Linked DNA regions of Rhinolophus ferrumequinum. The protein of the gene in region 4 purifies or fractionates together with the protein of the main gene of each other region. This does not show direct contact. Links are inferred from orthologs where the notes say so. Each region holds a gene or a part of one and is shown on either strand. Other genes may lie near its edges. The genes, in order: MMS22L, TRIM24, LEO1 and SSRP1.

The links.
Region 1: the proteins of SSRP1 (region 4) and MMS22L purify together in Homo sapiens (affinity purification with mass spectrometry; 3 studies listed by BioGRID and IntAct, counting the BioPlex papers as one, with this or other methods). This does not show direct contact. The link is inferred for Rhinolophus ferrumequinum from reciprocal best matches to the Homo sapiens genes SSRP1 and MMS22L.
Region 2: the proteins of SSRP1 (region 4) and TRIM24 purify together in Homo sapiens (affinity purification with mass spectrometry; 3 studies listed by BioGRID and IntAct, with this or other methods). This does not show direct contact. The link is inferred for Rhinolophus ferrumequinum from reciprocal best matches to the Homo sapiens genes SSRP1 and TRIM24.
Region 3: the proteins of SSRP1 (region 4) and LEO1 fractionate together in Homo sapiens (co-fractionation; 3 studies listed by BioGRID and IntAct, with this or other methods). This does not show direct contact. The link is inferred for Rhinolophus ferrumequinum from reciprocal best matches to the Homo sapiens genes SSRP1 and LEO1.

What each region holds. Positions count from the first base shown.
Region 1 is NC_046286.1:52,352,519-52,360,585, reverse strand, and holds the start of MMS22L (protein MMS22-like), read left to right. Parts: upstream 1-5,032; 5' UTR 5,033-5,157; intron 5,158-5,363; exon of another isoform or gene 5,364-5,500; intron 5,501-5,670; 5' UTR 5,671-5,748; coding exon 5,749-5,909; intron 5,910-6,853; coding exon 6,854-6,979; intron 6,980-7,734; coding exon 7,735-7,784; intron 7,785-8,067. UniProt on the Homo sapiens protein: Component of the MMS22L-TONSL complex, a complex that promotes homologous recombination-mediated repair of double-strand breaks (DSBs) at stalled or collapsed replication forks.
Region 2 is NC_046309.1:10,568,233-10,575,628, forward strand, and holds the start of TRIM24 (transcription intermediary factor 1-alpha), read right to left. Parts: upstream 3,076-7,396; 5' UTR 2,787-3,075; coding exon 2,423-2,786; intron 1-2,422. UniProt on the Homo sapiens protein: Transcriptional coactivator that interacts with numerous nuclear receptors and coactivators and modulates the transcription of target genes.
Region 3 is NC_046289.1:55,980,683-55,989,029, forward strand, and holds the start of LEO1 (RNA polymerase-associated protein LEO1), read left to right. Parts: upstream 1-5,133; 5' UTR 5,134-5,272; coding exon 5,273-5,330; intron 5,331-8,347. UniProt on the Homo sapiens protein: Component of the PAF1 complex (PAF1C) which has multiple functions during transcription by RNA polymerase II and is implicated in regulation of development and maintenance of embryonic stem cell pluripotency.
Region 4 is NC_046294.1:11,753,672-11,761,933, forward strand, and holds the start of SSRP1 (FACT complex subunit SSRP1), read left to right. Parts: upstream 1-4,919; 5' UTR 4,920-5,059; intron 5,060-5,548; 5' UTR 5,549-5,623; coding exon 5,624-5,677; intron 5,678-6,069; coding exon 6,070-6,255; intron 6,256-6,878; coding exon 6,879-6,984; intron 6,985-7,252; coding exon 7,253-7,443; intron 7,444-7,548; coding exon 7,549-7,779; intron 7,780-7,915; coding exon 7,916-8,019; intron 8,020-8,122; coding exon 8,123-8,251; intron 8,252-8,262. Other genes in the region: P2RX3 (P2X purinoceptor 3), read right to left, coding at 2,852-2,970. UniProt on the Homo sapiens protein: Component of the FACT complex, a general chromatin factor that acts to reorganize nucleosomes. The FACT complex is involved in multiple processes that require DNA as a template such as mRNA elongation, DNA replication and DNA repair.

The DNA.
Region 1 (8,067 bases), on a different chromosome or scaffold from region 4:
AAATTACTATGAGCAACTATATGCCAACAAATTTGACAATCTGGAAGAAATGGACAATTTTCTAGAGGCGTACAACCTTCCAGGCTAACTCAAGAAGAAACAGAAAACCTGAATAGACTGATTACCACCAGGGAAATTGAATCAGTAATCAACAATCTCCCAACACAAATAAAAGCCCTGGACTAGATGGCTTTACAGGTGAATTTTACAAAACGTTCACAAAAGAATTATCACCTATTCTCCTCAAGCTCTTCCAAAAAATCCAGAAGGAGGGAAGGCTCCCAAACACTTTTTACAAAGCCACTATCACCCTGATCCCAAAATCAGACAAAGACACCACAAAAAAAGAAAACTACAGGCTGATATCTCTAATGATCATAGATGCAAAAATCCTCAACAAAATATTAGCGAACAGAATTCAGCAATACATTAAAAAAAGTCATACACCATGATCAAGTGGGATTCATCCCTGGTATGCAAAGGTGGTTCAACATCCACAAATCAATTAATGTGATACACCACATTAACAAAATGAAAAATAAAAATCACATCATCGTATCAATAGATGCAGAAAAAGCATTTGATAAAATCCAGCAGCTATTTATGATAAAAACCCTTAAGAAAGTGGGAATAGAGGGATCACATCTCAACATAATAAAGGCCATATATAAACTCACAGCTAACATCATACTCAATGGGGAAAAGCTAAAACCATTCCCCTTAAGATCAGGAACAAGGCAAGTTTGCCCACTTTCTCCACTTCTATTCAACATAGTGCTGGAAGTTCTAGCCACAGCAATCAGACAAGAAAAATAAATAAAAGGCATCCAAATCGGTAAGGAGGAAGGAAAATTGTCATTATATGCAGATGACATGATACTATATATAGAGAACCCTAAAGACTCCACTAAGAAACTATTAGAGCTGATAGATGAATTTAGTAAAGTAGCAGGATACAAAATTCATATTCAGAAATCAGTTGCATTTCTATATACCAATAATAAAACATCAGAAGGAGAAATTAAAAAAACAATCCCATTTACAATTGCTCCAAAGACTATAAAATACCTGGGAATAAATTTAACCAAAAAAGTAAAAGATCTGTACTCAGAAAATTATAAGACACTGAAGAAAGAAATGAAAGAAGATACAAATAGATGGAAACACATACCATGTTCATGGATAGGAAGAATTAATATAGTTAAAATGTCCATACTGCCTAAGGCAATATACATATTCAATGCAGTTCCTATCAAAGTACCAACAACGTTTTTCACAGAAATAGAACATATAATCCTAAAATTTATATGGGACCACAAAAGACCCCAGATAGCGTCAGCAATCTTGAGAAATAAAAACAAAGTGGGAGGTAAAACAATACCTGACATCAAATTATACTACAAGGGCTACAGTAATCAAAACAGCATGGTACAGGCATAAAAACAGACACATAGATCAATGAAAGAGAATAGAGAGTCCAGAAATAAATCCATGCCTATATGGCCATTTAATCTACGACAATGGAAGCAAGAACATACGGTGGAGTAAAGACCGTCTATTCAATAAATGGTGCTGGGAAACCTGAACAGACACATGCAAAAAAATGAAGCTGGACCCCCTCCTTACACCATATACAAAAATAAATTCAAAATGGGTTAAAGACTTAAATGTAAGATCTGAAACCATAAAATTCCTAGAAGAAAATATAGAAAGAAACTTCACAGACATTACCCAGAGTAAGATATTTACTGATATATCCCCTCACACAAGGGAAGTAAGAGAAAAAATAAACATGTGGGATTACATCAAACTAAAAAGTTTTTTCACAGCAAAGGAAACCATCAATAAAACAAAAAGGGACCCTACTGAATGGGAAAAGATATTTGCCAATGCTATGTCTGATAAGGGGTTAATATCACAAATTTATAAAAAACTCACTCAACTCAACTCCAAAAAAACAAACAACCCAATTAAAAAATGGGCAGAGGACATGAAGAGACATTTTTGTAAAAAGGACATACAGATGGCAAACAGACATATGATAAAATGCTCAAACTCACTAATCATTACAGAAATGCAAATAAAAACCACAATGAGATACCACCTCACCCCAGTCAAAATGGCTATCATCAATAAATCAACAAGCAACAAGTGCTGGGGAAATAAGAGGGGAGAAAAGGGAACCCTTGTGCATTGTTGGTGGGATTGCAGATTGGTGCAGCCACTATGAAAAACAGTATAGAGGTATCTCAAAAATCTGAAAATGGAACTACCTTGTGATCCAGCAATTCCACTCCTAGGTATCTATCTGGAGAAATCCAAAACTCTAATTCAAAAAACTTTATGCACTGCTATGTTTATTGCAGCACTATACACAATAGCCAAGACATGGAAACAACTGAAATGCCCATCAGTAGATGACTGGATTAAGAAACTATGGCACATTTATACAATGGAGTATTACGCAGCCATAAAGAAGAAAGAAATCTTACCTTTTGCAAGAACATGGATGGACCTAGAGAACATTATGTTAAGTGAAATAAGGCAGACAGAGAAAGACAAATACCATATGATCTCACTTATATGTGGAATCTAAAGAAAAGAATAAGTGAATGAACTAATCAGAAACAGGTTTGGAGACATAGAGGAAAAACTGAGGGTTGCTAATGGGAGGAGGGATGCGGATAAAAGGGAAGGTGAGGGGATTAGAAAACAGTCAGTAACCACAAGATGGCCACGGGGTTCTGAAAGTTAATTTGCAGAATGTAATCAATAATGTTGTAAAGATTTTGTACGGTATCCGATGGACACTTGTCTCATTAGGGAGACCACCTCAGGAATGATGTAGATGCCTGATCACTGCACTGTACACCTGAAGCTGAAGCTGAACAATAAGGAATGTCAACTACAAGTTTGTATGTATATGTATATATACATAGAAATGAAGCGGAGTACAGCATTGGGAATAGAGACAGTGGAAATGTAATGGCTCTGTGTGAAGTCAGAGGGATAGTGGATGGGGGGAGGGGGGTTCACACAGTGTGAGAGATATAAAAGGTAAACGTTTAAGTATTACTTTGTCTTGTGCACCTGAAACTAATAAAAAAAATAAAGAGTGTATTCTGCTATTGTTGAGTGACCTATAAATGTCAATTAGGTCACGCTGGTCGGTAGCGCTGTTCAGGTCTTCTGTACTAATTTCCTGTCTACTTGTTCCACCAATCACAGAAAGGAATGTCGAAGTCTCTACCTACCGTTAATAATTTGAGTATTTTTCCTATAAATAATAGTGTTTTTCATGTTATGTGTATTGAAGCTCTATAACTTGATACATACACATTTAGTATCGTTGTCTTCTTGATATAATTGGCCCTTCTCTCAGATTCACACTCTATCCTTCGTTAGCCTGGACTCTAACCCAGGAGAATGAATTTTATAGATTATATTCTTGCCCTGTTTTTAGGTTGGTTTTGGCCACTGAGAGACACTGGGAGGACATTGTTGTGTGGAGGGAAAGAGGTTTGGATACTTAGTCTTTTCAGCTCCTCCCTGCTGGGTTGCAGGTAGGCAGTGGGTATGTTCCTCCATGAAGCCACCATAGGTGGTTATCAGGTAGGTGGCTGTATCCTACAGCAGTAAGTCTCCTTGGGCTCTGGTAAGCCCTCTTTCCCTTACCCTTTAGGCCTAACAGTGATAATGACTCTGATTAGTTCACCTTTTTTTGTTTTCAGGTAATTCTGTCAACCACACCTTTGTATATGGCCCTTTCATTTAAACACCCTTCAATCATTTCTCTTGAGTATGCCATCTTTTACCTACTGTTATAACTGTTACTGTTATAACGTGTTACAGTACTTGTTTAAATTACTTACAGATAACTTATTTGGTTCTTCCTGTTCCACTCATTGGTTCAACCAAGTTTATCACTCAACGTCAGGCCCTTGAAAAAGGGAAAAGGGTCTATTTTGATGTTTTCACTAGAGGAAGAAGTAATAATGGCTATACTGACCAAGTTCCCCAAAAGTCAGTGCCAGGGCCCAATATTCTTATACCTATGCACTATTTCCCAGGGATTGTTGTAGATGACACTACGTGTTACTGCTGGACTCCCCCTGGAACATAAAGCAGCTGCAGTGGTCCCCAACGCAGCATGAGATCTCATGGTACATCTGCTGAGCATTAAAGACATTGCACTCACCCTCGCAGCCCTAAGTTGCAGTCGGAATACAGATCACATTGTGTTTTCCCCCCACCTCATCCCATTTGTCAGAAAATGTGGTTTCAACAGAGGAAAGAGTTAAGTTTCCTATATAGGAATTAAACGTAAGACAAACTATTGTGGAGGACCGTGCAAGGGCAAATACTCAAATTATAGCAGCACATTTGATTGAGAAATTCTCAGGTTTTTCTTGAATCTAAAGACGGCGAGATGCTGAAATGTGTTCTCTCTGACAGCCTTAAAAATCTTCTAAGGAGACTTTCAAGAACACTTAAAAAGATAAAAATGCTGCGAATGGGCTATGTTTTTACAAAAGCGTCCAGGTTTAAACGACTTAAACCTGCCTGGATGTGTTGCATAAACGTGGAGCAACAGTTTTCATATCAGTGTTTTCCATTCACTGGATTCACCTCATTTTTGCACTTGCTTGGCTCACAATCCATAAACAGGCATCGTCGTTCTTAACGAAAGAGTTGCAGACACTAGCCAGGGAAGAAAAGGGCGAAGACGCGGCTGTCGGTGTGAATGAGACACCCGCCCCGGACTCGATCAAAGCTCCTTTTTCAGGCCCACAGAGGATAATCCCGTTTGTCCCTATGCTTCTCTCACCTCAGTTTCGTCATTTTCGTTGCCCACCGAGGCCCCGCCTTCCGGCCAAAGGCACCAATTAAAGCTCACAAAAAAAGAAAGGAAAGGCGGACCGATGCGGCACTGAAGCCTTGGCTGACGGACTCTCGCGAGAACTCACGAGTGCCGACCATTCCCACGGAGACCTCGCGAGCTTACCTCCGGGGGCGGGCTCCGCTGTGGCCCCGCCCTTCTTGAGCGCGGGCGCACAGTGGCGGGAATTTCACCTGTTTGGGATTTAGATCCCACGGACCACCGGGCTGTGATCGGGATCGCGGCGGGCGGATCTCGGAGGCCGACAGTGTGAGTAGGTACGACGGCCACCGGTGCACAGGACACCGGCTCCCCTCGCCATTGGCCCGGTCCACGCGGGTGTCTGCCGTGTGCGGACCTAGTGAGACTTGCTCCCGGGCCTGGAGAAATGGGGGTTGGCGCGGCGCCGTCCTGCTCCCCACCCCGAGGCTGCAAGGGAGCATTTGCACGACACTGGGGAAGCTGGCAGCGCAGTTTAGTAACACAGAGGAGGGCGCAGGGCCAGGCGATCTCTGGAGTTAAAGTCTCTGTCCTGCAAACATTTCTTTCCTCTTTACCCTGCCCTGTGCAGCAGTGTCCGACCTACATGGGATGTTAAGTTTCTGCTACATCCAATCGCGGGTGCGTTTTGCTTAGGTTCTGACAACCTTGATCTTGGGAGATCGGTGGGAGAGAGTTATTGTGAATTTGACTTATGTGTGTGTGTGTGTGTGTGTGTGTGTGTGTTGGGGAGGAGCGTTTTGGGAACTTTCTGAAGTCACCTCTGATTTCTCGGCCCGCCCCACCTCCAGGAATCTCATCACGACTTCTTTGGAGCCCTTAATGATAATTATAATGAACCCCAGACATTTCAGAACATGAAGTAAACAATGGATATCTGTTCCGCTGCGTCGACTTTCCTGACCGACAGCTTGGAACTGGAGCTGGGGACAGAATGGTGCAAACCCCCTTGCTTTTCTTGTGCTTTTGACAACAGAGGAGGAAAACATTTTTCTGGAGAGTCCTACCTTTCCAGTGGAGCCCTTAAGCGGTAAGTGAAAAATCGGAGACTTTGTTTTTCTCTCATCAGATTTTCCATCAGTTTGTTAGGGATGTTATTTAATTAAGATTAGAGTTAACTAAACTTTGATGTGCAAGCCATGTGTTTGTAAATCGGCTTAGTATATCACACGGATACAAGCTGTTAGTTCTGTTGTTGTTGTCATGGTTAGAGCTTACCTGAAAGATTTTTGGATATGAAGAACAACTTTCTTGCTCTGCCAGATGTTCTCTTACCTCACTGCTGCCTCAGCTTTGGATTAGGGAGGTGGGTACTGATTTGTTCAGTAATCCTTAAGTAAAACATACACATTTTTTGTTGCCCCAGTTCCTTCTGATACTATGTATCTGTATATAGAAAGGTCTTAATAGACTTATTTTAAAAAAGCTTTCTAATAAATACCAGATTGTATAAGTTCACAGGAATATTATTCTTCAAAATTTTTGCCTTGGGCAGTTGTGTGCTGTTATTGAAATATTTTGGGAATACCTGCTGAGGCAATTTCAGTCAGAAAGGAAATCATTTTTGTTGGTTTTACAGTTGTACCTTGTTTGAGACCTTAAAAGAGATTACTCATTTTGATTGTTATTCTCCAGACATGGTTCAATAACTTTTAGCTGTTTTAAAAATTAAATGCCTCCTCAAAGGATGAAATTCTACAACTGAAGACCACTATTAAACACAGGCGAAAGTGTGTTCCCTATACTCCACGCATTTTTCACATAAGTTACATTGCTCTTGAGACTGAATTTTTTAATACAGTCTAGCTGTAGTGTTCCTGAATATGTAAGGTACCAGGGTATATCGTTTGTGACTTTAGAATCTCATTGCTAGCGTGTCATGTACAATACAGGCTCATATAATGTCAAAAATGACATGCTATAGTAATGAGATTTAGCATACTTTTCGTGAGATTAAATCACTTCTCATTTCAGATTAATTTTGAATCTTGATCCTTTACCAACTAATTTTGAAGAGGATACTGTGGAAATATTTGGCATTCAGTGGGTTACTGAAACAGCATTAGTGAATTCATCTAGAGTGCTATTTCATTTATTCAGGTATGTTTCGTTTTGTTTTTAAATATCCAAAAATACATTAAGAATGTATATATGCTACATTTAAATGAAAATGGAAAGGTGCAGGAAGGATTTCTCCTCCCACCCTCATCCCATAAGACCCTATGTGTCACTGTATCTGTGCCATGTTCTATGTTTTATTGAGAGAACAGGCTAAGTGAATGATTTTCTAATTCTGAACATTACAGGATGAGTTGAGTCTTTATCTAGGACACAGGTCATGAATATGGGTCAATCTTTAAGGAGTCGAAAGGCAGCTAGGAAGAATGGAAAGTGGAATTAAGGAATTAGTTCTCAGGAATTAAGTTGGAACATTATAAATATAACTTTGCCTGATAACTCTAGTGGACATTGTTCCTTTTTGAACTCCTACTGTAACTATGATACAACTTAAATTTCATTATGTAACTGTTAACCTAGGATATTTTATATAAGTATCTTAAACTTCTTGAAGATTTAAACAGTATCTAATTGATAGTGAAATCTATGATATTTGATACCATTTCTTAGGTATATGCAGCTTTTAATAGATATTTTTGGCAAGTCAGACAAAGGCATATTTTAGCTTTTCTTAAAGTTATCTTGCCTAAAGCTGACCCTGTAATAAACATTCATGAAGTATTAAATGTCACTCACAAATGGGACACATTGAAGCTCATAGATTTGGAAACATCTGTGTAATTTTACATGCTTTAAACTATTCTAAAATTAACTCTCACATACATTTTTTAAATTAGGCAACAACTGTACAACTTGGAAACTTTATTACAGGCCAGCTGTGATTTTGGTAAGTTGTGTGTTTAAAGGCAAATTATAGTGAATCGCACATGGGTCTACGTTGATAATTGGGATATCATACTAACATGGTGGCAGTGTTAGGACAGAAGTTCAGGATAAAGTATATTTAGTGTTCAGACAAAAGTATGACACTGAAAGTTTGTTGTAGGTAAGATTTATATTTTTTCAAATCTGTAGGTAAAATTGATTTAAAGCTAAACATCTGTTAGTAACTTGCTTTGGGGATGGGGAGTAGGATGGAGAACTATACCAGACCTTGTGCTGTCTTCTTG
Region 2 (7,396 bases), on a different chromosome or scaffold from region 4:
GAGAATCCGTGAGAGCCTAGTTTGCCCCCGGCCCCCACTCCCCATTATTTTAACCCCAGGCTCCTAGTTCTCCATCTCAATTACCAGCTTAGCCCCTGTAGGTATTGTAGTTTGATCCATGATGCCTGTACCCACAAGCTCATTAGGAGAATGAGGAACAGATGATCAAATGAACCCTATCTATTTAGTTCTAAAATGTATTGTCTAAACTTTTGTTTCGGCTGGTATTAAAATAAGTTTGCAGGGAGAGAGGGGAGAAAATATCCCAGTCAATAAGACTCAGGAAAATATTTTCAATTTATTGCAAATGACCCTAACTTTTTTGAGGTGTATGTGCAAGTATCATTTGTTAATGCTTTTTCTTAGTACACAAAAACATTTATCTTCCAATTTAAATGCTTTCCTTGAACTCTTGCTTACAATACAAATACAAAGATAAAAAAGAGTTGGGGACTGGGATTATATAGAACATTTTGAGAAATCTGGAATTACAAACTTGTCTCAGAATTGAGGATCAGAGATTTTATTATCCAAATTCTCATTCCTTCAGGTCTGCATGTCATGGCCAGGCACACAATATATCTTAATTCTAGAATTATGCAAAATTCAGATCCTAATTGGCTAGTTGCCTGTTTAACCATTTAAAATAGCAATATAAGAAACCTTAAAATGTGTCTAAAAATTAAGAACTAAGATGTTTCACTTGTACTAACTTTCCAACAGGTGGGCCACATCTGAGCAAACTATTAGGGTGGTGCAAAAGTAATTACGGTTTTTGCAATTATTTTTTTAACCTTTTAAACCAATTACTTTTGCACCAAACTAATAGTATGAAGGATCTGAGATTTTATCCTCCCTACCACAAGCTAACAAAGTAGCTTACCACGGATGCTAGTAGAAAACACGAGACTCAGGAGTCACAGACAAAGGGCATTTTATTACTTACAATAATAGCGTAAGCCAAAGCACCAACATTTTTGCACTGGTTCCCAGAGTCCCAGCTCTTACCAGGCAAGGTGAAGAGAGGCAGTTGACACCTGCACAGGCAATGGGTTGTTACATGAGAGGAAACCTAAGCTTAGGGAACCCCAATCTTTTATGATGAGCAGTAAGCATGCCTGCCTTTTACTCCAGAAGGAGACATTTATTTGTATTCCACTGGACCATATGCATGCCTGCTCTTTGCTCTGATGGAAGACACTCTTCTAAGACTGTTCCTTACACAAACATCCCTTAAAAATACAAACAAAGGGCAGTAACCACTGGCAGGACCTGCAGAAACAGAGAAAGACCCATGGAAAATTGTCTCCCTCCACTAGATACTGTTTCTAGCATATAATTAAATGAGGAGTCTAACACGACCATTTATTTAAAGCATTAATTAATTTCACATACCCTTTGACTTAGCTCAATTATTTAATTAGCATTTTATCTCAAATCTACTAGTCCCTCTAAAAAGGAAGCAAATATTAGAAATGAATAATCCCACCTTTTCCAGTTACTTTGTATTTTTAAGAGAAGGAGCTCAAATATTTGCAATACTAAAATTTAAAAACCTCAAGTATTCTACAAGAAAAAGAATTACTGTGCTTACTTTGACTAACTTTAAATGTTTCAAACCTGTTAACGTTACCAATGGGAACTACCTGTCAAAAGTCTTGTTATACAGAAACAAACACCACAAAGAGAACAGTAACTTCAACATTTCCAGCTGCTGTCTACAAAATACAAGAAAAATCCTGCATCCCAAATCACGTTGTTCTATTTCTCTTTACCTTTTACCGTTTCAAAAATAAAATCTTCGAAAGAGAAAGACAACAAAACACCGCCTCTTAGTTCCTTTGTCCACAGCAGAGGGGAAGAGAACTGGGTTCTTAGGAAGGTAAAGAACACGAAACATACAAGACAGAAAATAGACGGCAACTGATCTGTAATCAGTCATCAAAGAAAGTCACCATCACTTCATCTTCATCCCTGCCTCCCCACTCCAGCTCAGAAAAACGTGCGTGTAGACGAGATGATTAGGATCGTATGCACCTGGACAAAGCTTTGGGGGAGGCAGAGGGTAGCCGTTAACTAGATGCAGCTGGCAAAGAACCCGAGATACAGACTACAGCAAACTCCGACAGAGGTTTTCAAAAGTGCGGGTCGCGTGGGCCACCCAACCCTGGAGGGGAATGCCGAGGGGCAGGAGCAGCAGCGCGGACAAGTCCACGGCGCCCGTGGAAGTTGCTCGCGGGGCGCGCGGCACGCCGCAGAGCGAGCGCGGGCCCTCCATGTCACCGCCGCCAACACAGACCCTCCTTCTCGCCCCTCCCCCGTCGCGCACCCCTGGCGGCGGCGACATGACAGCGAGTCGCGCAGCACAAGGGCGCCCGTCTCCCCGACGCCCTCCCTGGGCTCCCCCGCGCCCGCCTCTCACCTTGGGTAGCGAACCGCGAGGAGCCGCTGGCCGGCGAGCCGGGGCCAGGGACTGGCGGTGGGGTCTCGGCCGAGCCCAACATGGGCGCGGGCAGCATGAGGTAGCGCTGGGGAGCGGGCAGGCAGCGCTGGCAGAAGGAGTGCAAGCAGGGCAGCAGCTTGGGCGCCCGGCTCTGGATATTCTGGTGGCACACGGCGCAAGTGTCCAACAGGTTGAGCCGGGCCGCCTCGCCTCCGCGCTCCGAGTCCGGGCCCTGCCGACTCTCGGCCTCGTTCTCCCCGCTCGGCGTCGCCGAGGGCCCCCCGGCGGCCGCCGCCGAAGCCGCCACGGCCGCCGTCGCTGCCTTCTCCACAGCCACCTCCATTGTCCTGCCCCCGCCGCCGCCGAAGGGGGAGCGCGGTCTCCGCCCGCTGCCGCCCCCGACGACCTCCTCCTCCTTCTCCTCCTCCTTCTCCTCGTCGTCACAGGCCGCTCGGGTGACCCGTGGGAGAGGGAGGGCGAGAGGGCCGGGCCGAGGAAGCCTCCTCAGGCCCCGGGGATCCGCCTCCCGGGTGGCGCGGCCGGAAGAAGGGGATCAGTCAGCAGGGACCGTTCCTCGCACCGCGGAGGACGTGCTCCGTCCGCTTCGCCAACCGCCGCGGCGATCTTCGAATCCGCCCAGCCCGCCCTCGCCTCCCCGCTTTTCTCTTGAGCCCCCGACCCACCTCCGGATCCGCCCCCGCCCTCGCCCTCTCTCCCAGCAACTGAGACGACGGCAGGGAGCTCGCCGCCCAATAGCCGCCGCGCCAGGCCAGGGGGCGGGGCCAGCCGATGCCCGCGAGGCTCCGACGGTCCCGGCGGGAGGCTGGGAGGTGGGAGGGCTCTTGTGAAGCCCCGCCCCTCAAAATCCTGGAACCGCGGCCTCTGATTGGGCCTTTGTGTGCGTGTAGCTCCTCTGAAAATATTGAGGGTTCATTTGTTAACGACCGACCATCTAATTCGGTCCTCCTGTGTTGGCTCCTCCTACGGGGCGGGGCTCTACCGTGTATGCGCGTTAATTAAGTAACTGCTTCGAAAACTCTCGTTTTACTACTGGAGACCGGGGTCCTGTAGAAGGCATAAATATGGTGGGAGGGTCAAAGGATGGTGAAGTAGAGATAGTGAAGAGCAAACAAGGAAAGAATTGTGAAAATGTGAAAAAACGATACCGTAGAGGCAGCATGGATTTTGCCACCTGAAGGTACTCATCTCTATGATGAATGATGGAGCATGAAGAATAAGGGGGAAGGTTCTATTGCAAGTCAGAAATTTTGTAAGGATTTCGCCAATGAAAATTGATTTTTAAAGTCAATGATTTGCTTTTTAAGTGAATAAAAGGGTTCATTTTCCAAGGACTTAATATATAAAAATTGTTTGCAAATGTCTTTATTGCACAAATATGGCATCATTCCAAAAATAAAAATAAAACTCAATATTTATGTCCAAATAATTCATAACTTCAATATTTTTGTTTTCATTCTCCAACCCCCCCCACACACACAGTTACATTAGAAGTTACACATATTTTCAAAAAATGGCCAAACTTTTAAGGAGCTTGAAGTATAGAAACGGGTTAGGAGAAACAAAGCTTTTGTATACACAAGACTGTAAAAAAATTGTATGGAAGTGCCATTCTTTAAGTACAAATGAAGTGATGCTGGACCTTTGAGGGAGTGGTATGGGATCAGAAAAACTTAAAGTTGAAAAGATCTTGAAAGAAAAAATGGCATGGTGGGAGGCGGGGGCAAACTCTAGGCTTCCTAGCCCTCCCACAAGACCTCAGTACCTTCCCAAATTATTCCTCTCCTACCAGACTCTTTACCAGACAGGTCATAAAATCCATTTTCCAAAAGCCTTCAGAGCAAAGTTCTCCTTAATGATATTCAAGGGCTATTCATTTTGTATGGTACTAGTTTCTTAGACTTTAGTTTGCATGAAATTCACCAAGCAAGTTTGCTTAAGAGCTGGTTCTTTGGGCCCATCCCATATTCAATTTTAGTAGCATCTCATAATTGTGATCTGGGTGCTCCAAGACTACCCTTAAAGAAACAGAGACCTATCCGAAGTTTCTTACCTATCCCTCCATGATTTCATCCCTATACATCTCTCAATCTGAAGTTCCCAGTATTCTCATGCTTTAATTTTAATGCCTCCTGGTTTGCATGTGCTTTTCCCTTTGTTTTAGAATGCCCTTCCCCCAAAATTCAGACTTACCTATTCTCCCTCTAAACCATCCCAGACAAAGTTCATCACTTCTTCTCCAGTATTCATTCTCCACCCTATCTTTTTCTAGCTGCACTTTGAAAATCTTCATATACTATGAAAGCAAATTCTGTATTACAAATTAATGATTTTAATATGTTAATAATTCATTACAGAGGTAGTATACAGGATTCACACAGACTAAAGACAAGTGCTCTTTATTCCCGCAGATGACAGTAGTGGATAAGGAAAGAATAAGAGGTGAACTGGGGAGGCTTGTTTTGAGAGATTTCCATGTAATTTGATACAGCCCACTAGTTTAGTTTCTTAGTCATCATGGATAATCAGTTTTAGAGAAAATTATCTTCCATATTCTTAGACTTCCTAGTCTCAGGTAATTAAAACAATTGTATGTTTTACTTTGTTCAAATACATATGGCTTCTGTTTTTTTTTTAAGTCTAGAAAACGAATTTATTATTTTAGATTATTTTACTTGTGTGATTTTCTTATCTAGATATTGTCATTCTCCCAAGTGTGTTGTAAAACTTTCGCAGAGATCTACCAATAGATTATTCTTCCTTAATTACAGCTCTCAATATATTCCCCTCTCTTGTTCCATAATTTCTATGGCTCCCCACTGCATCCAAGTCTCTCTACATTTCATCCCTATCTGATCTTCCTGTCTGGATCATCACTGTTTTCCATACCCATTCTAAGCTTCAGCCTTTTGGATGGTTTGCCTTTTTCTAAACTTCATCACCATCACCTCTACAACCACCTCTGAGAGCAGAGATAAGAGTTGACCATACTGGAAGAGAAGGAGAACAAGAGCATTCGAGTCTAGTGAGAATTCCTCATGCCCACCACTCAAAAGGTAGTAATGGATAGAAATTTTAGAACTTCCAGGGGAGTTTAACGAAACCATTTTTGAGTAGACCTCTCAGAGGCTGTGATGCACGTCTAGCAAGAAGGGTTTGAGATAACTCCTTCACCCAGTTTCCTATGGCTTTACAGGAACAAGGAAAAGATCCCTGTAGCTTTAGTAGTAGCAGAAAGGCCTGGATGATTTGAGGCTTCATTGTTAGGAAAAGAAGGATGCAGTGTGCAGGGACCAAAGACTGTCTCATTATCTCAATAGCTTCCACAGAGATGCCAGCAGTCAAGAACCAATGCAGGTAAGGCACATTCTGTGTATGCCACCATGAACCAAGGATGCCCAAGAATCCAGTGTCTTTCTGTCGCGAGCACCTGAAAGGGCAATTGCCATATTTCAGTCTCTTCCTAAAAGTCAAGGGGACATGAACCCCTCAGCAGGGCCCTATGTCCCTGCATGGTACTCATGACGTAAGTGGGGAACAAAGTCTTGACACACAGGTTCAGACAGAGTGAGTAACACAGCTTTATTTGGGAGCCAATGTCCCTCCAGAGGCCAATGCTCTGGCAAGCACCATAGTTTATACAAGACAGAATAGAATTTAATAACGAACCAAGTCACAGAGTCAATCGAGATGGAGAAGGTCCCTGGTCTGGGAGAGACGACTGGGCCCACGACAGGTCTGAGTCAAGTTGGTCTTGTTTGCAAAGAAAGAACTTCGGAGAGTTCCGGTATCGCAGCTTGCACCTCGCAGAGGGTCTTAGCCGGAGCGCCCAGTTGGGCTTCTCCTGGCATTGCTCTGGAGTTCTGCCTTTATCCTTTCCCTTGGACTTATTTACTTCTTAGGTGATAACCAGAAGTTGTTTGCCAGGAGTTGTTTACCTCTTCAGTAATAACGAGAAGTTGTTTTGGTGAACGCTTTTATCACTCGATTTTGTGATACTCAGTTTCACACAAAAACATGTTTTTCACTTCATTCTTATCAGGCTCACACATGTGCGGCCATATTCCTACTAGGAAGCAACTTGTTTTGCAAACCTCAATCCAACAACAACCTCGTTGATAGTATATTTTATATGCTCTGTACACTTTCCCGCCTATGCCATGATACTATTTAACCCTTGGATCTGCAAATTGGGTCTAGAGAGAAGGGAGAATGAATGCTGTATTGATTGATTTAAAACCTGAAATGATGACCAAAACAAAAAAACAAAAATGGAAACAAAACCTAAAGTAATTAAGAATATGACTAGATGAAGCTTTCTGCTATCAGGAAGATAAAAACTTCAGGGTTTTTTTGTTTCGTTTTTTTCAATTTTTTTTTTAATTAATGTTAATAGCCTACATACTATTTTGGGGTACACTAAAGGATTAACTCAGTGAGCTTGGATTACTCAAACCCTGCACATTCCAAAGAAAGAACTGGCCCTTGACTAACTGATAGTCTCTGAACATTTATCCTACCTGATAAGAGAGTTTTGGGACGTTTGAGGCTTTGGGCCACACTCCATCATTTGACCAGGTGGTTTATGCTAATGAAGGCATGTCTTATGGCTAACACCAGTTTTTTGTATACCTGAGTCTCTTGCCATGCAGTGTCATTTTTATCTCTGGGGAACTGAAGACTGAGTAGCTAAGGTCGATCCCATGGGTGCTGTATACCTATGTGACCGACCATCAATTTAAGTCCTGAATGCCAAGGCTTGGATGACTTTCCTTGGTTGGGAACACTGTTTCTGGGCTGTTACATATTGTTGCTGGGAGAATTAAATGCTGTTTGTAAGACTCTATTGGAAATGGACAACTAGAAGCTTTGCTCCTGGTTTCTCCTCAACTTGGCCTCTGCACCTTTTTTCTTTGCTGATACTGATCTGTATCC
Region 3 (8,347 bases), on a different chromosome or scaffold from region 4:
TTCCTTCCTTTATTGTTTCTCATCCTCCAGCAAAATGCAAGTTTCTGAGAACAGACACTTGACCTATTTTGTTTCTGTTGTATCTTCAGTGCCTAGATTAGTTTCTGGCATGGAGAAAGCACTTATCCTTATTGGATTAGCAAATGTAGCAGGTATTCTATTCATTTCCTTCTTAGTCTGCTTTCTCTTGGAACCTTCTGTCCTCTTGCTCCAATCTGGACCAGCATCCCTCTTGGCCTGCAGGCCCAACTATCATTCTGGAAATTTCTTTTGCCTCTTTTCAATCTTGGATTTCCTGCCTTTTAAGTTTTTCCCTTTCTTGGCTTAGTCCCTCATTTTAGGGACTACAATTCATAGATTGTAAAATTTTTGAGTAATTCTTCCAACTGCTATTGCTGTATAACAAACCACCTCAAAACTTAGAGGCATTATGCCACAACACCCCCTTACTGTCTCCTGGTTTCTGTGTGACAGGAATTGAGGAAAGGGCCAGCCTGGGCACCTGTGGTCTGGTGTCTCTCACCGAGGTTGCACGCACACTGAAGCTGGAAGCTTAAGAGGACTATTGCAGCTGAGGGTTGGTCAGGCATCTCTCTTTATGTAGTTTTGGGGAGTCTCCATTTGGTCTCTCAGCGTGGTCTAGTTTGGGTGCCAGATCCAGTGAATAAGGTGCATGAGGACACACCATAATGTTTTTATTTGACAGAAATTGCTGTACCAGAAGTGATGTGTGACATGAACCTTTTGTCATAATGGAGGATGAAGTAAAGACACTCATGGAAGAGGACTTCCAGAACTGCTTCAGAAAACGGCAAGAACGAAGGGAGGTGTTCGAAGCAAGGGGGAGTATTTTGATGGGGATTAATGGCAATGTGTCTTTTACTGTAATAAATTTTTTTAATTTAAACATTCACCTTATCTTTTGATCACACCTCGTATTCCGGTTTTGCAACTTGATGTGAGCATATAATTTATAAAATTTAAAGGTATTTTTGCTACCTTTTACGAGAGTCTTGGTTCTTCTTGCCTACAGTGAAGAATCAAAGGTCAGCAAGCTGATTAATATGCAGGCAGGGTTGATTAGTGATACACTCTTAGGGAAGAGAATGGGCCTAGCCAAGGTGGGGGACAGGGAGAGAGAGGGAGAAAGAGAGAGAAAGGGGAGGAAGGGGAAGAGAGTGAGGGCTAGAGAGCTCGAGGGTCAGAGACAGAGAGAGCCCTTGTCCCAAGGACTTATAGTTTTCCGGGTGAGGTGAGGGAGTTACATATTGATTTGGTGGGAAAAATGGTGCATGCTCTTCCATGGGAGGGTGTGACCTGCTAAGATGGGTGGAGGTCTGTTGACTCAGATCCTCATCTTGCTCCAGACCACGGCATTGTTATCTGTTGTTGTAGAAACAAATATGAGGCAGTTAATCAAAGCTACTTATGAGCTTTTTCTATAGTCACTATGGACCCCCTCCCACCCCGCCTCCTCCTACATTTTCTAACTTCTACCTAGCATCATCAACCTAGTTGAATCCCTATTCTTTGACTGGGGGTATTGTGGTGTCTGAGGATCACACTTCACCTAATGAAGTCAGAACATGGGAAAAAGAGACAACCTCCAAAACTGGGAATCAAGGTAAAGTTACTCTGGAGTTGTTTTAGTGAATCACACACATAATAGATGAAATTTTTCATCCCTGGGAGCAAATCAAGAGATTATCTTAACATCCAGAGTTAAGTTAGTTAAACACAAACCCAGTAAGATGAACTTCTTATCCAATAGGATAAATGAAAATTATTTTAACATTCAATGAAAGTGATCCGGGTGTAACCTTAGGCAAGCAGTACTGGAAAATGATTGTGATTGATTTAGCTGAAATCTAATTGATTGCATTATATTTAAAGAAAGACAATGAATAAAAGAGCAATGATCGGCATACAGTATAGTAAAAACAAAAGTGAAAATCAAAGAACCAGAAGTTATTTGTTTTGCATTATTCTGATGGGATAAACACACTAATTCTGCTAGTCATGAATATGGGCATGGTGATTCAGCATGCTTCACTCAATTTATTAAGATTTAATCAATGTCCTTTTCAAGGATAGTATTCTAAATGAAAATGAAACTGAATTACAAATAGAATACTTGTTTTCCCAGTATTCCAGAAAGTTTTAAAGTAATCCCACCTACCTACTCTTATATCATCCATTTTATCACAACAGCTCTGGAACTGATAACATACCTAGTTAGCTAACCTTTTGCCCATTTGGACCATGTCAGGCACTCTTATTGGCAACAAAAATATATCTCATAATCTCCAAACTCAAAATCCATGTTGCTTGTCCAAGATCAAAACCCTCATATTGGCCTAATTTGGTAATAACCTAACACAGGATGCACACTTTTAGTTAACCTTTTAATTTTTCAATTACAACTGACATACAATATCAGTTTCGGATGTACAATACAGTATTAGACATTGATATAAATTATGAAGTGATCACCCCAATAAATCTAGTACCCATCTGACACCATACATTGTTACTACAATATTATTGACTATATTCTTTATCCTATACTACACATCCCCATGACTACTTTGTAACAACCAATTTGTACTTCTTAATCCCTTCCCCTTTTCACCTATCCTTCCAACCCCCTCCCATCTGGTAACCATCAAAATGCTCTTTGTATCTATGAGTTTGTCTCTGTTGTTAGTTTATTTTCTTCTTTAGATTCCACATATAAGTGAAATCACATGGCATTTGTCTTTCTCTGTCTTTCTCCATTCAGAACAATACCCCTAGGTCCATCCATGTTGTTGCAGATAGCAAGATTTCATCCATTGTAAATATGTACCACCTCTTCTTTATCCATTCATTCACTGACGGACACCCAGGTTGCCTCCATATCTTGGCTATTGTAAATAATGCTGTGATGAACATACGAATGCACATTTCCCTTCGAAGTAGTGTTTTGGGTTTCTTTGGATAAATACCCAGAAGTGAGATTACTGGGTCCTTCTTTGTCTCTTCCTGTAGCCTTTGTTTTAAAGTCTATTTTGTCTGGTATAAGTATTGCTACCCCAGCTCTTTGTTTGTTTGTTTCCATTTTCACGAAATATCTTTTTCCCTTTACTTTTAGCCTGTTTGTGTCTTTCAATCTGAAGTGACTCTCTTGTAGGCAGCATATGTAAGGGTCTTGTTTTCTTATCCATGCACCCATCCTATGTTTTTTGATTGGAGCATTTAATCCATTTAAAGGAATTGTTGATAGATATATAATTATTGCCACTTTATTATTCTTTTTTTTGTTTAATCTTCTTTCTTCTTCTTTTTAAAGAAGTCCCTTTAACATTTCTTGTAATACTTTGGTGTTGATGAACTCCTTCAGCTTTTTTTTGTGTCTGGGAAGTACTTGTTTCTCCTACAATTCTAAATGATAGGTTTTCTGGATAGAGTAATCTTAGTTCTATGTCCCCGCTTTTCACCACTGAGTATTTCTTGCCAGTCCCTTCAGGCCTGCAAAGTTTCTGTTGAGAAATCAGCTGACAGTCTTATGGGAGCTCTACTATAGGTAACTCAACTGCTTTTCTCTTGCTACCTTTAAGATTCTCTTTGTTTCTAACCTTTGGCATTTTAATTATGATGTGTCTTGGTGTGGGAGGATGTACATATTTTATTTTACTGGGGAATATCGGGGTACAGTGTATTTCTATAGGGCCCAAGTAGTTGTCCTTCAATCCAGTTGTGGAAGTCGCAGCTCAGCTCCAAGTCCGGTTGCCATTTTCAATCTTTAGTTAAAGGGGCTGCAGCCCACCATCCCATGCGGGAATTGAACCCGCAACCTCCTTGTTAAGAGATCAGGCTCTAAACAACTGAGCCATCCGGCCCCCCCTTCGGCAGCTCAGCGGCAGCTCATTGTCTTCAATTTAGCTGTGGAGGGCACAGCTCATTGGCCCATGTGGGAATCCAACTGGCAACCCTGTTGTTCAGAGCTCACGCTCTAACCAACTGAGCCATCTGGCCGCCCTAGAATGTACATTTTTAAAAACTGAAATGAAAGCTTTCTAAAAGAGACCTAGTTCTTTAATGTATACAATCGCTTCATTTCTTTGAGCTCCTGTAAAGCAAGAGTGTTTACCTCGCACTAACCTATTATGAAAACTCTATTACTGTCTGGTTGTACTATGTATAATTGTAGCCACATATCCTCTAAAATCAATTTCTAGGCAAAATAAACAAGTCAATGAAACCCTTTAAGTAGTGTTCTAGCTGCAGGTTGCAATCCATTAGTAAATCATGAAATCATTTTAGTGGGTGCACTGCCTGTCAGCATTCAACATAAAACTAAGAAGCTGAAATAGAATAAAATAGAGAATAGGAAATCTTAGACTGCATTTTAGTAGTGAAGGAAGTATTGTTTTGTGAACTATTTATTTCAAATTTTTACATTGTGTACTAGGTTAAGATGGAAAATTTATTTATGATGCTTGAGATACACTGCACTAAAGCTGCATTGGTCAAAGAGTTGTCTGAGAAAGACAACTCCCCCCCCCCCTTTCCGGAGGGGACTCTGTAAGGTCCTCCCTTTCCTAATTATGTAAATATTTGTTATGAGGCCAGATTTTCTTCACAAGCGTCAACCAAAACAGACTGAATGAATGTGAAAGCAGGCATGAGAATTCAGCTGTCTTCTTTTAAGTCAGACATTAAAGACATTTTGAAAACTGTAAAATAATTCCACTCTTCTAATTTTTTTCTCTTACAAAAATCCAGTGATTTAAAGTTTTAAAATGGTATTTGTTAACCTGTTTATTATGTTTAAATTTTTTTAAATTTCTGATTTAATTATGAATGTGGTAAATATCAACATATATTACCAACATAAACAAAAGCACTTTGGAGTCCTCAACAACTTAAGAACCGCGCGTCAATATCAAACAAAGGACATCAGGCCCGACTCCGGGCAGGTTTAACACGGTCCAAGACCCTCTGGGGAGAGTGTCAAGCACCACCCACTCCATCCACTCAGACCCCGAAGGCCCGGCTCCGGGTGAAAATCCTCGCCAATGAGAACAGATACAAAGGGCGGGGTTTGTCACCATGTGAACGCCTAAGCATCGACGAGCATATAGATTCGTGGAGCTCGCGAAAATTAGGTCACAGGAGGAAAGCAGCCTTTTAGAGAATCTTTGCGACACTGTCGCGTTTCGTTGGTTTCGTGCCGTAAAGACGGTCGCGGAGCAGTCCCCAGCCAAGGCAGAGGCGGACGTAAGCGAGAATGGCGGATATGGAGGACCTCTTCGGGAGCGACGCCGACAGCGATGCTGAGCATAAAGGTGGGATCGACTGGGCTTCGGCGGAGCGGGTCGCGGAGGGCCTTCTGCGGCCGGAACCCGACCGCAGTCAGGTTCCGGGTCTGCGAACGCTCGGACGGTGCGGGCTGGTGGTGCTTCCTCCTTTCCTGCCCCAGCGCCCCCTGCACTCCCGGCGGTGCCAGCCTCCTCCTGCGGGCGGAAGTAGAGGGACAAACGCTGAGCGTGAGCCTGGGGATTCTTGGTGTCGGTGGAGCATGCAATGCCTGGGAGCGTGTAGAGCGAAGGGGGCGCGGGGCAGGGGTGGAGGCGCGGGCGAACCTGCACAGCCCAGGACGGAACCTTGGGGTCCTGCTCTCTCCTGGCTTGCACAGGCTAGCGCATAGTAAGGGCTGTTTGTGAGTGAATGGAAATTAGGTGTTCAGGAATATGGGGAGTGGGTGGACGAATTTACAGATGAGCTCAGAATGCCCGCTTCAATGAGACCACACCATGGGGTTATGGGGCGTTTGAGATACCTGGGAAAGGAAACTAGGAAGGAAACCGGGATACATAGGCATTACGCACCGGAGAGAATGCCTTCTGAGAGCCTGTGCAGAAACTAGAATTTACCTGGTAAATTAGAATTTACCTGGTAAACTAGAATTCACCAAACTCAACTGGTATTAGATTGCGGGACGTATAGTGTCTGTGTTTGAAGAGGAGAGATGAAGGATTTGTTGATGAAATGAATGAAAATGAATGAATGGTTCATGGAAGTATTTCTGGTACCAGGACTGTGGCTATTTGAGTTTGAAATATGAATAGGAGTTATTTGAAGTGAGAAGGGGTCTAAGACCAAGTTCAGAATTCTTGCAACCCTCCAGTCTCAAAGTAACTTGATCTACTTTTTGCCTTAGCAAAGTGCATTGTTGTAGTTGTTCTTTTTCTCTCCAACTCCAATTTACTCATATTTTTTAGTGTAGTGGAAGGAGCACCAGGTGGAAGTCTAGTCTGAGGGCTTTAGCAGGATGGGTGTCCAGGAGATTCTAGTCAGGAAATACAGCCCTATATGCTACCTCTTGTTCCACTACCTTTGCTAATGTTTTCATTTCCCCCTCAATTTTACTTGTCCATATCCCATTTGTCCTTCAAGGCATAATTCCACCATGTGAACCTCCCATGACTCACTTCTATGAAGTTGTTCATTCATTCAATAAGTAGTTATTGATCCCCTATCATGTTCCAGCTACTTTGCTAGGTGTTGGGGATATAATGATGAAGAGATTGCCTCTGCCCCCTCCCTTTCTCCACCAGCTTACACTGATGTTTAATGCATATTTAATAAATAAATTGGAGCAGTAGAAACAATAGTTTAGTAACATGTATCCTGCAGTGCTTTCCCATTGCAAACTCAGTGTATGGGGAAGTGATATTTGGAGGTATCTGCTTCTCTTGGCTTCACACTTTACTTTCTCTTGTAAGTCTGTTGCTTCTTTCATCTTACCATTAGATAACAGGACTCAATCAGATTTACTACCAAATCTGTCCTTGAAGGTTGCTGTTGATCACGAAGGTAGTATGGATGTGACAGGGAATTCCTGTTATGCCTAGCATACTTCATTTTCTCCCTGTGCTAAGAGAGTTGTGGAAAATAACTGCACCTGACAAATTTCTTGGCATAACAATGAGTAGAATTCCTACCTAGGCCCAGCATGTTTCTTTCACATATAAATGTGCCAGGTCGTCTTTAATTTCTTTCAGCAATGTTTTGTAGTTTTTATTGCATAAATCCTGCACCTCCTAAATTTATTTTTAAGTGTTTTATTCTTTTGGATACTATTGCAAGTGTAACTGTTTTCTTAATTTCGTTTTTGGATTGTTTGTTGCTAATGTACAACTGATCTTTGTGTGTTAATCTTGTATCTTTGCTGAATGTGTTAACGCTAATAGTTTTTTAGTGGATTCTTTAGGATTTCCTACGCGTAAGATCATGTTATCTGCAAATAGAGATAGTTTTACCTCTTCCTTTTCAATTTGGATGCCTTTTATTTCTTTTTCTTGCCTAAGTGCCCTGGCTAGAACTTTCTATCCAATGTGAATAGAAGTGGTGAGTGGACATCCTTGCCTTGTTCCTGTTCTTAGGGAGAAAAGCATTCACCATTACTTACATATGATGTTAGCTGTGGGTTTTTCACAGATGCCCTTTAGCAGGTTGAGGAAATTCCCTTCTATTCTGTTTTTTGAGTGGGTTTATCATGAAAGGGTGTTGGATTTTGTCAAATGCCTTTCCTGCATCAACTAAGATAATCACTTTTTTTCTTTTATTAATATGGTTTCACTTCGACTTTTATAGGTTGAACCACTGTTGTATTCCTATGTTAACACCCACTTGGTATGGTGTACATCTTTTTAATATGCTGCTGGATTTGGTTTGCTAGTATTTTGTTTAGTATTTTTGCATATGTATTCATAAAAGATATTGGTCTGTAGTTTTCTTTTTTGGTGACGTGTTTGGCTTTGGTATCAGGGTAATGCTGGCTTCATAGAATGAGTTTGGAAGTGTTTCCTCTGCTTCAAGTTTTTGGAAAAGCTTAAGAAGGATAGGCATTAATTCTGTAAATATTTTATATGATTCACCAGTGAAGCCATCTGGTCCTGGGCTGTGTTTTTGTTGGAAACTTTCTGATTACTGATTTAAATTCTACTTTGTTATAAGTGTATTCAGATTTTCTATTTCATCTTTAGTCAGTTTTGATGGTTTGTGTGTTTCTAGGAATCAATGCATTTCATCTAAATTATCTAATTTGTTGGCATACAGCTGTTCATAGTAATCTCTTTTAATCCTTATTATTTCTGTAAGACCAGAGTAATGTCTCCATTTTCATTCCTGATTTCAGTAATTTGAGTCTTTTCTCTTTTTCTTGGTCATTCTAGCTAAAGGTTTGTCAATTTTGTTAATGTTTTCAAAGAATGAACTTTTGGTATCCTTGATTTCTATTATTTTTTATTCTTTACTTCATTTATCTCCACTCTAATCTTTATCATTTCTTTCCTTCTGC
Region 4 (8,262 bases):
AAAAAAAAAATTCCTGAGAACGGGCGGGAATTCCCGCCTGGAAACCCTAGGTAAAGGAAACCAGGGATGAAATGGTGTCAAACAGAGACACCTGAGGCTAGAGGCGGTAGTGAGAGCATGTGTGGAGACAATTAGGTGGTGTGTTGCTGTGAGCACACATGTCCTAGGTAAGATTATGCATCTGGTCTACCCGACAGGCACACTATGGAAGAGATTCAAGTATTAGTTAAGCATCAACATCACAGCATTAAAAATCCTTTCACATTCTATTGAGTCCAAGCCACAGTCATCTCTCTCCATCTGATTGCACCACCTTTTAACACATTTTCCTGCCTCCACTCCTACCTATTCCAACCCCTTTGTGTATCAGCCACAGCGATCTTCCCAACTCAGATCTCATCATGTCTGTCTCAATCGATTCTCTCTCTCTCTCTCTCTCTCTTTCTCTCTCTCTCTCTCTCTCTCACACACACACTAAAACCCTTTAGTAGCCTCCCATTCACTCTTCTGTAAAAAAGGAAAGATCTGAGGTGTCTGAGGTCTGACCTTCGTCTGCAATCCTGCCCTCATCTTGCACTACCGTCTCCTTTGCTCTGTCTGCTCCAGCCATAAAGACCTTCTTTTCTTCTCCCCATTAGCCAGGCCCTTTCCCTTTGCAGAGCTGGGTTACTCTGCCTTGAATGCTCTTCCTACCCTTTTTTCACCTGGGTTGCTCCTGCTCGTCCTTCGGATTCTGGCTTGAGTGCCACATCTCCAGAAAACCTTCCCTCGGTTCTCTGATCAGGTCAAACACCTCCATACTAGCAGTCTCTCCTAGCACCCTGAGCCACAGTTGAGATTTTACATTTGTTGGCAGAAATTATTTGATCAATGTCCATCTCTGGCATGATCTGCTCCATGAGGGTGAGGACCCTGTCTGCTTTTGCCCACCGTTCTATCCTCAGTGCACAATATCTGGCATGAAGAGATGCTCAATACATTTCTGCTAAATTAGCGACAATGGATTCCGGAAGTCCTAATGGTGCATGGGCTCACGTGCGTGTGCAGAAATGGGGCTCACACCAGGGGGCTGGGCCGCAGAGGGCGCGATATAACTGGAAGGAGCTGCCCCGTGGGGAGCTGTCAGGCTGGGAGATGGATGGGGATGAATATCAAGATGCCAAAGAGCCTCTCGTGCTTCCTCCAGCAGGCCCGGCTCCAGCACCGAGGATCAGAGCACCAGACTGCATCCTGATGCGGGAGAGACAAGGGCAGTGGGGTGCTGAGGAGGCTGGTCCAGGAGCCCGTGCCTCTACCCACCTCCATCAGTCTCCTGCCTGGACCCAACGAAGTCAGGCCAGGCTGGCAATGTGCTGAGGCAGCATTTGCACTCACCTGGACCAACGCACCATCCTGTGGCTGCATATAAACCATCAGTGCATCACACATGCCCGTGAACGTGGAAGCTTTAAGAACCAACTCTGAGCCAATCTCCGGAGGTGCGGGCAGGAAACGTTTGCAAACATCATATCTCACAAAACCTCAAACTTGGAAGAGAACTTCAAGGCCATTTAACCCTACCCCGAAGCATGAGTCCCTTCTCCAATGTCCCCACGAGGAGTACAGGATGTACAGCTTTGTCTACAATACACGCATAACTGAAGCTTACTGGCTCTCGCTAAGCCCGCGGAGCAAAAATCCCTTAATTCACGTCTAGCCACATTTCCACGCACACCCTCACACACTACTGTGACCTTCAGGCAAGGAGGCCCCCCACACGCAGCTCCCACCCGTACGCACACAGGATATTTCCTTTGGCTTGCTTGAATTAACTCATGACAACCATCAGTGGCTTGCTGTCTCTCTCACACAGACCCATTGTCTCAAGGAACAGCACGAGACTGGAGACCTGTACACCGGGAAAGAAAACCCTTGAGGTTTTGGCCTGTATTTCCTGATGCCCGTGTGTGTGAGGGACCATGAGAAGGACAGAACCTGTGTGTTTTCCCCCACCATTGTGTGTTCCATGGCCCTTTGTGCATGGGTGTGAGTGTGAGTGTGTGTGTGTGGGTGCCTTCAAGAGGTGGGGGCCACAGGGGTGTTCAGACCTTGCTGGCTCTTAGGCACCTCCCAGCTGGGTTATATAGTACAAAGTCAGGTAAAAATAGAGAATTTACGTTTTCTGACAAAGGGGAGTGTTTCTGGCTTCTTGAGGAAGGACGCTACACTATGTTCAGAAAAGCCACTTTTCTCTTCAACAGCTCTCCCCTCGAGTGTTATTGGTGCCCGTGGTTCTCCCTCCCTCCCAAGGGGCAGGTCTTCCCGCTTTGTCCTACCCTCCAAAAGCCCGGCTTCTCCCCTTTTCATGTTCTCTCCCCATCTCTCCATGCCAGGAGGGGACCCTCATTCTAAAGCGGATCCAGTTCTCTCCTTCCCTCCTCCAGCTGGCCCTCCTGACACCCCGCAATCAACCTGTCACTGGCTCCCTTGTTTCAGTGCCTTTCTATCCCCATTCCTGGAATCCCTTGTCTTTTTGAGACCCCAAAGGGTTGACTGAGATGAATGGGAAGATGTGTGTTTGGGGGTCTGTCTGTTCTCTGGTTGGGGGGGAGAGATGAGAAAAGGGAGAGGGGAGACGGTCACCTGGGACCTCTCCTGGTGGAGGGTAGTGCCCTCGCACTGCGTGTCTCGGGAAGCCCCTTCAACTCCGGAGGGTTTACTGTGAAAAAGAACTCATCTCAGGACCAGATCCCCGATGGGGCCACAGAGGCCAGTCCGAAGGACATGGCTCCACAAAAGAGACTTCCCCCAGAGAGAGGAGAAGCTTGGGAATCTGGACAGCCACACTAAGGGGAGAGGGGGCCAGACTCACCCCACAAAGTAGGAGATGATCAGAAGCTGAACTGCTCGGTTGATGATCCCAATGGTCCAGCTCTTCACAACCACCGACTTGGTGGTCTCGTAGGTAAAGAAATCTGACATGCAGTTCATGTTGAAAGAGTGTTCGGGGGCCACTCAGAAGGGACCCAATGGCAGTCTCAGGAGGGAGCAGCCCTCAGACAGGGAGATAGGGATCAACGCCTGGAGGGGCGGCGTAGAGGGGCTTGAGGAATGGGGAGCCTGTTCCTTTAAGTTAGGCAACCCTAGTCCAGTGCCCAGGCTCTCTCTGCTCTTGACACTCTGGGCTGCCAAGAGTCCAAGGCCAGGGCGGTGGGGGGGGACCCCTTTTTGTTCGTCTCCACCCTACTCCCCTGTGATGTCATGGCAGGGGTGGGGTCTCCAATCCCAGGCTCCTGATTGCCTGGGATCCAGCTGGCTAGGGCCCTCTGGGACTCATGTTTTATCTGCACTCTGTCTATCGTTTCTGTTCTGTTCCGTTCTCTTATGCTGCATCTTCATCCCAGCTCACCAGCTGCTTTATGCTCTCCTTAAAGCCCCTTGCAATGCCCCATCCCCCAGCCACCTAATAGCCTGCCTGCTCTGAGTACCCCTTTCATTCCGGTCTTCCTAAAGCCACTCAAGTCTGCAGCCATCCCCTCCCTTCCCAAGTTGCCTCCAACAGCATGGGGCAGGGGGACGTGGTCTTAAATATTTCAGGTGGTCTCTTGGGAGGGGGCGAGGAGCGTCACAGCTCATATTTCTAACTGAAATTGGCAGAGGCTGAAACTCTATCTGTAGTATTATCACATTGGGTTATTTATTTCTTTTTGTTGTGTTTTTGTTTTACTGTCAGCTTACTCATCTGAATCATTTGTTAGATTATATGCTCCTGGAAGGCTGGTGCTGTTTCCATCTTGTTCACTTAAATATCCTTAGATCCTAGAACTCTGTTGGCGCTCAATACATATTTATTGAATCCAGATGAATTTATGTTGCTAGATAGTGGTGCAGTAGCCATTACCCAGAGGTGACAGCCATGAGTTCAGGGAGCAACAGTGCACTCCCGCTGTCTGTTATACCAGGATTCAGTCAGCAAGCTGGTGTAACTGGTTTAAGTCAGATTTTCAGAGAAATCTTGAGTTTAAGTTTTCTGTCCTAATGTTTTCGCACAGGACACATACGCTCAATTGTTCTGAAGGTAGAGTTGCTGTGATTATGACAGAAGAGAACTGGACTGGGGCAAGGACATGTGGGTTCTAATCTCCAGATTTGTTGCCAATTTATGAGACGCTGGTTAACTCCTCTTTGGGCCTCAGTTTTCCCACCTGCAAAAGGAGGTTGGAGTTGGCGAACCCAAACTCGTCTCCTGGGTCTGGCCACCTTTGATTTTGCAAGATGCATCCTAGAACTATGTGAGGAGGGCATTTCTCCCTCCGGCAATCCCAGATTGATGTGGTTTCAGGTCAGCTCTGGCTCTGACACCAGCACTTGAACTTGATACCTCCGTTTACCAGCCTCTTCCAGGCAACCATACATTGCAGTTAGACATGTGACGTTTTTTGGGTGCAGACAGTGAACTCATTTCCAAAAGGATCCAATCTCATGTGACTGACAGGGGAGAGCAGGACAGTCACAATGACACCAACACACGCATTCTCTTCGCAGCCAGTGGGCGGGGTCATTTCTCTCAACTCTTTAAATATGTATTTTTCTTCTTGTCTCACAAATTCCTACTCTACAGAAACCACTATTGGGCAGGAGAGAAGGGCCCACATCCATCCAACACATATACACACACATCTGTGGAAAGTCTGATAAAAGAAAACTACACAATTTCTCTTTAGAACCTAGTCCTTCACTGAAGAAGTGTCTGTAATATTTAAAAAGCCCTACGCGTACCCATTTTCTAGCCAGATTCCACGCGGGTGGGACTTCCTCGCCGCCCTGCCGACCTCAGGTCCTCCAGGGCCGCCGACGCTCTATGTGACCGCCTCGTAGGTGGGCCGAGCTCGCACCTCTCTAGCCATCTCATCCTCTCTATGATCCGAGCACAGCTTCCGGTGGCGGGACTCTGGGGCGCGCACGCGGGAAAAGGTTCCCCAGTGTTCCCCTACCCCCTGTGTCCCTACCCCCCTTCCCCCGCATCCCCTAGCGCGCCCACAGCCCGCACCTGGGCCGTCACGAGGCTACTGCTTTAGAGGTGGGTGGTCACCGTCCCCGGGCCTCTGGAGGGCGCGGGTCCCGCTTCCCCCCGGGACGCTCGAGATGGACCGTTCCGCGTTCGAATCTGCGGGTAGCGGGCGAATCCATTTTAGGGGGAGGGGGAACCGTGGGCCTGGGGCCGCGGCGCGGTGGGAGCTCTGGGAGGGAAACCCTGCACTCTGAGCTGGGTTGGAGCACGGGTGAGGTGCGGACTTCAGGCAGGCCCTGGGATACCGCTGCTCGTTGCCATGGCGCCGGGTGGAGCGTCCAGAGCCCGTGTCTGGTTAGGGTGTAAGCGCTACTCCAGGCCTGGTTCTCTAGCCGGGGCTGGGCCTGGCCCCTCGAGCTCTGCGGAGCCCTCCTGTAGGCTCCTAGGCAGAGGAGATCCTGAGACATCCCAGGCACAGCCACGGTTGCTACCTGGCCCCATCTGGGGGCAGAGTGAAGTGCTGTCTTTCACGCTCGTCTGTTTTCCTCTTGAATTCAGATCCCCAACTTGCTGAGGATCTGCACACCCATCCAGGAGTTGGGGCCCAGCTTTCCCCAAAAGGGAAAGGACAGCATGGCAGAAACACTGGAATTCAATGATATCTATCAGGAGGTGAAAGGCTCCATGGTAAGAAGGGCTTGGGCTTCCACTACAGGTGGAGAAGGGAAGGGAGTGGACTTTTTGTCAGTCAACAAGAGCTACTTTGAAAAAGGAGTCAGTATAATGCGTACCTCGTGTTTCCCTAACAAAAGGCAATAGTGAGAGAGTACAAGAGTTACAGGATCTCAGAGTTGGAAGGGACCGGACCTGCTGCTCCATCCCGCATCCCCAACCTGAGGACCTGCAGGGGTTCTGGATGCCAGAGCCCGGATTAGAATCCAGACTTTCTGGCTACTTGTCCCTTCTTGCTGGCCCTCACCACTTCAGCTGTTGTTCCTGCCAGCCTAGGTGTTGGGTGGGACTGTACCCAGTATGCACTGTGCACCGTCCCCGTGCATTTGGGTCGATTTTTCCAACAGAACGATGGCCGGCTGAGGTTGAGCCGTCAGGGCATCATCTTCAAGAACAGTAAGACGGGCAAAGTGGACAACATCCAGGCGGGGGAGTTGACGGAGGGCATCTGGCGCCGTGTGGCTCTGGGCCATGGACTTAAACTGCTTACAAAGAACGGCCATGTCTACAAGTATGACGGCTTCCGAGAATCGGTGAGGTGCCCTGTTGCCATGAACCCCCCTTTTATGGCGTCGTCTTGTTTAATTTTAATGTAGAGAGAGTTGGGGCTCCTTCCTCTGATAACCATGTATTTGCTAGTTTGGGCTCCACAGAGCAGGGCCATCGAGGTCATTCAGCAGTCCGTGTCCAGTTTTGGGTGCAGAGTCTTGGGGGAGTCTTAGTGTCTTGACTCCAGAAGATTTGCTACCATTTTGATTTTTTTCATGGTTTCTGCTTGTTGCCTTTGTCCAGGTTCAGCGTCTTAGCTTGATGCTTTAGTTTGGGTGTTGTTTTCCCATTTCGAACTGCTTGAGTTAAAGACTACTTCACGTTAATTTCCACTTGCATTAAAGCAACACCTCTATAAAGTCAGATAGCATTGTGAGGAATTGTCAGTTCCGTATTTCATTCTCCCCCCAGCCTGAGAGCCAGTCCCCAGAAACAACCTTTTTCAACATCCTTTTAAACAATTTTATAGCTGAGCTTCTAAGTCAACGTGGATTTCTGATAAAAGGTATATCAGGGCAATTTCTCCGACATAGATGATCCCGAATGTTCAAGTTTGTGTTAAAAGCACTGGGGTTTACTGGGACTACTCTCTCCACTCCACTTGCAGGAGTTTGAGAAACTCTCTGATTTCTTCAAAACTCACTATCGCCTTGAGCTAATGGAAAAGGACCTATGTGTGAAGGGCTGGAACTGGGGAACCGTGAAGTTTGGTGGTGAGTCCTGGGCAAGGATTGAAGTTTGGGGACAAGATAGGATGAAGGGTTTCAGCCTTTAACTTGTTTTGCTCTCTTTCTGTCACTGTCTCTGACTTCCTGTCAGTCTGTAATTCATCATGTATTTATTGAGGACCAACAGTGTTTCAGGCACTGTGCCTGGTCTTGGGGGTACAGTTTGAGCAAAGTAAGCCCAGTGCCCTGCTGGGAATTTGGCTTCTGCAGACTCGAGGGGAGGAGCTGGTGGCTGATAGCCCTTTCCCTACAGGGCAGCTGCTTTCCTTTGACATTGGCGACCAGCCGGTCTTTGAGATACCCCTCAGCAACGTGTCCCAGTGCACCACAGGCAAAAACGAGGTGACATTGGAGTTCCACCAGAATGATGACGCAGAGGTCTCTCTCATGGAGGTGCGCTTCTACGTGCCTCCCACCCAGGAGGATGGCGTGGACCCCGTTGAGGTGAGGTGTCCCCTGGTCACCTTGGGAGCAGATGGTATTGAGCAGGCCTTAGCTGGCCCAGGAGCAGAATCCCTGCTACTGGATGACCAGTATGTGCTTTTGCAGGCCTTTGCGCAGAATGTGTTGTCTAAGGCGGATGTGATCCAGGCCACTGGAGACGCCATCTGTATCTTCCGGGAGCTGCAGTGTTTGACTCCCCGAGGCCGATACGACATTCGAATCTACCCCACCTTTCTGCACCTGCACGGCAAGACCTTCGACTACAAGATACCCTACACCACGGTGCTGCGTCTCTTTTTGCTGCCCCACAAGGACCAGCGCCAGATGTTCTTTGTGGTGAGCAGAGACCACCGGCGGTGGATTGTCCTGGTTTTTGCCCGAGTCTTTAGTAGCTAGATCTCACTGGGGTTCAGTTAATCAGCAAGTTCTGGACCATTGATTGATGTTGAACCTCGTCGGCTCTTCCTTCCAGATCAGCCTGGATCCGCCCATCAAGCAGGGCCAGACCCGTTACCACTTCCTGATCCTACTCTTCTCCAAGGATGAGGACATCTCCTTGACTCTCAACATGAATGAGTGAGTGTCTCTCTGGACTCATCCTGCCATGTCCAGGCAGGAGACAGGCGTGCACTAGCGGGCAGCAGTGCTGGTGACCGGCTGTGTCTTCCTCTGTTTGTAGGGAAGAGGTAGAGAAGCGCTTCGAGGGGCGGCTCACCAAGAACATGTCGGGGTCCCTCTATGAGATGGTCAGCCGTGTCATGAAGGCGCTGGTGAACCGCAAGATCACGGTACCAGGCAACTTCCAAGGGTGAGTGTACA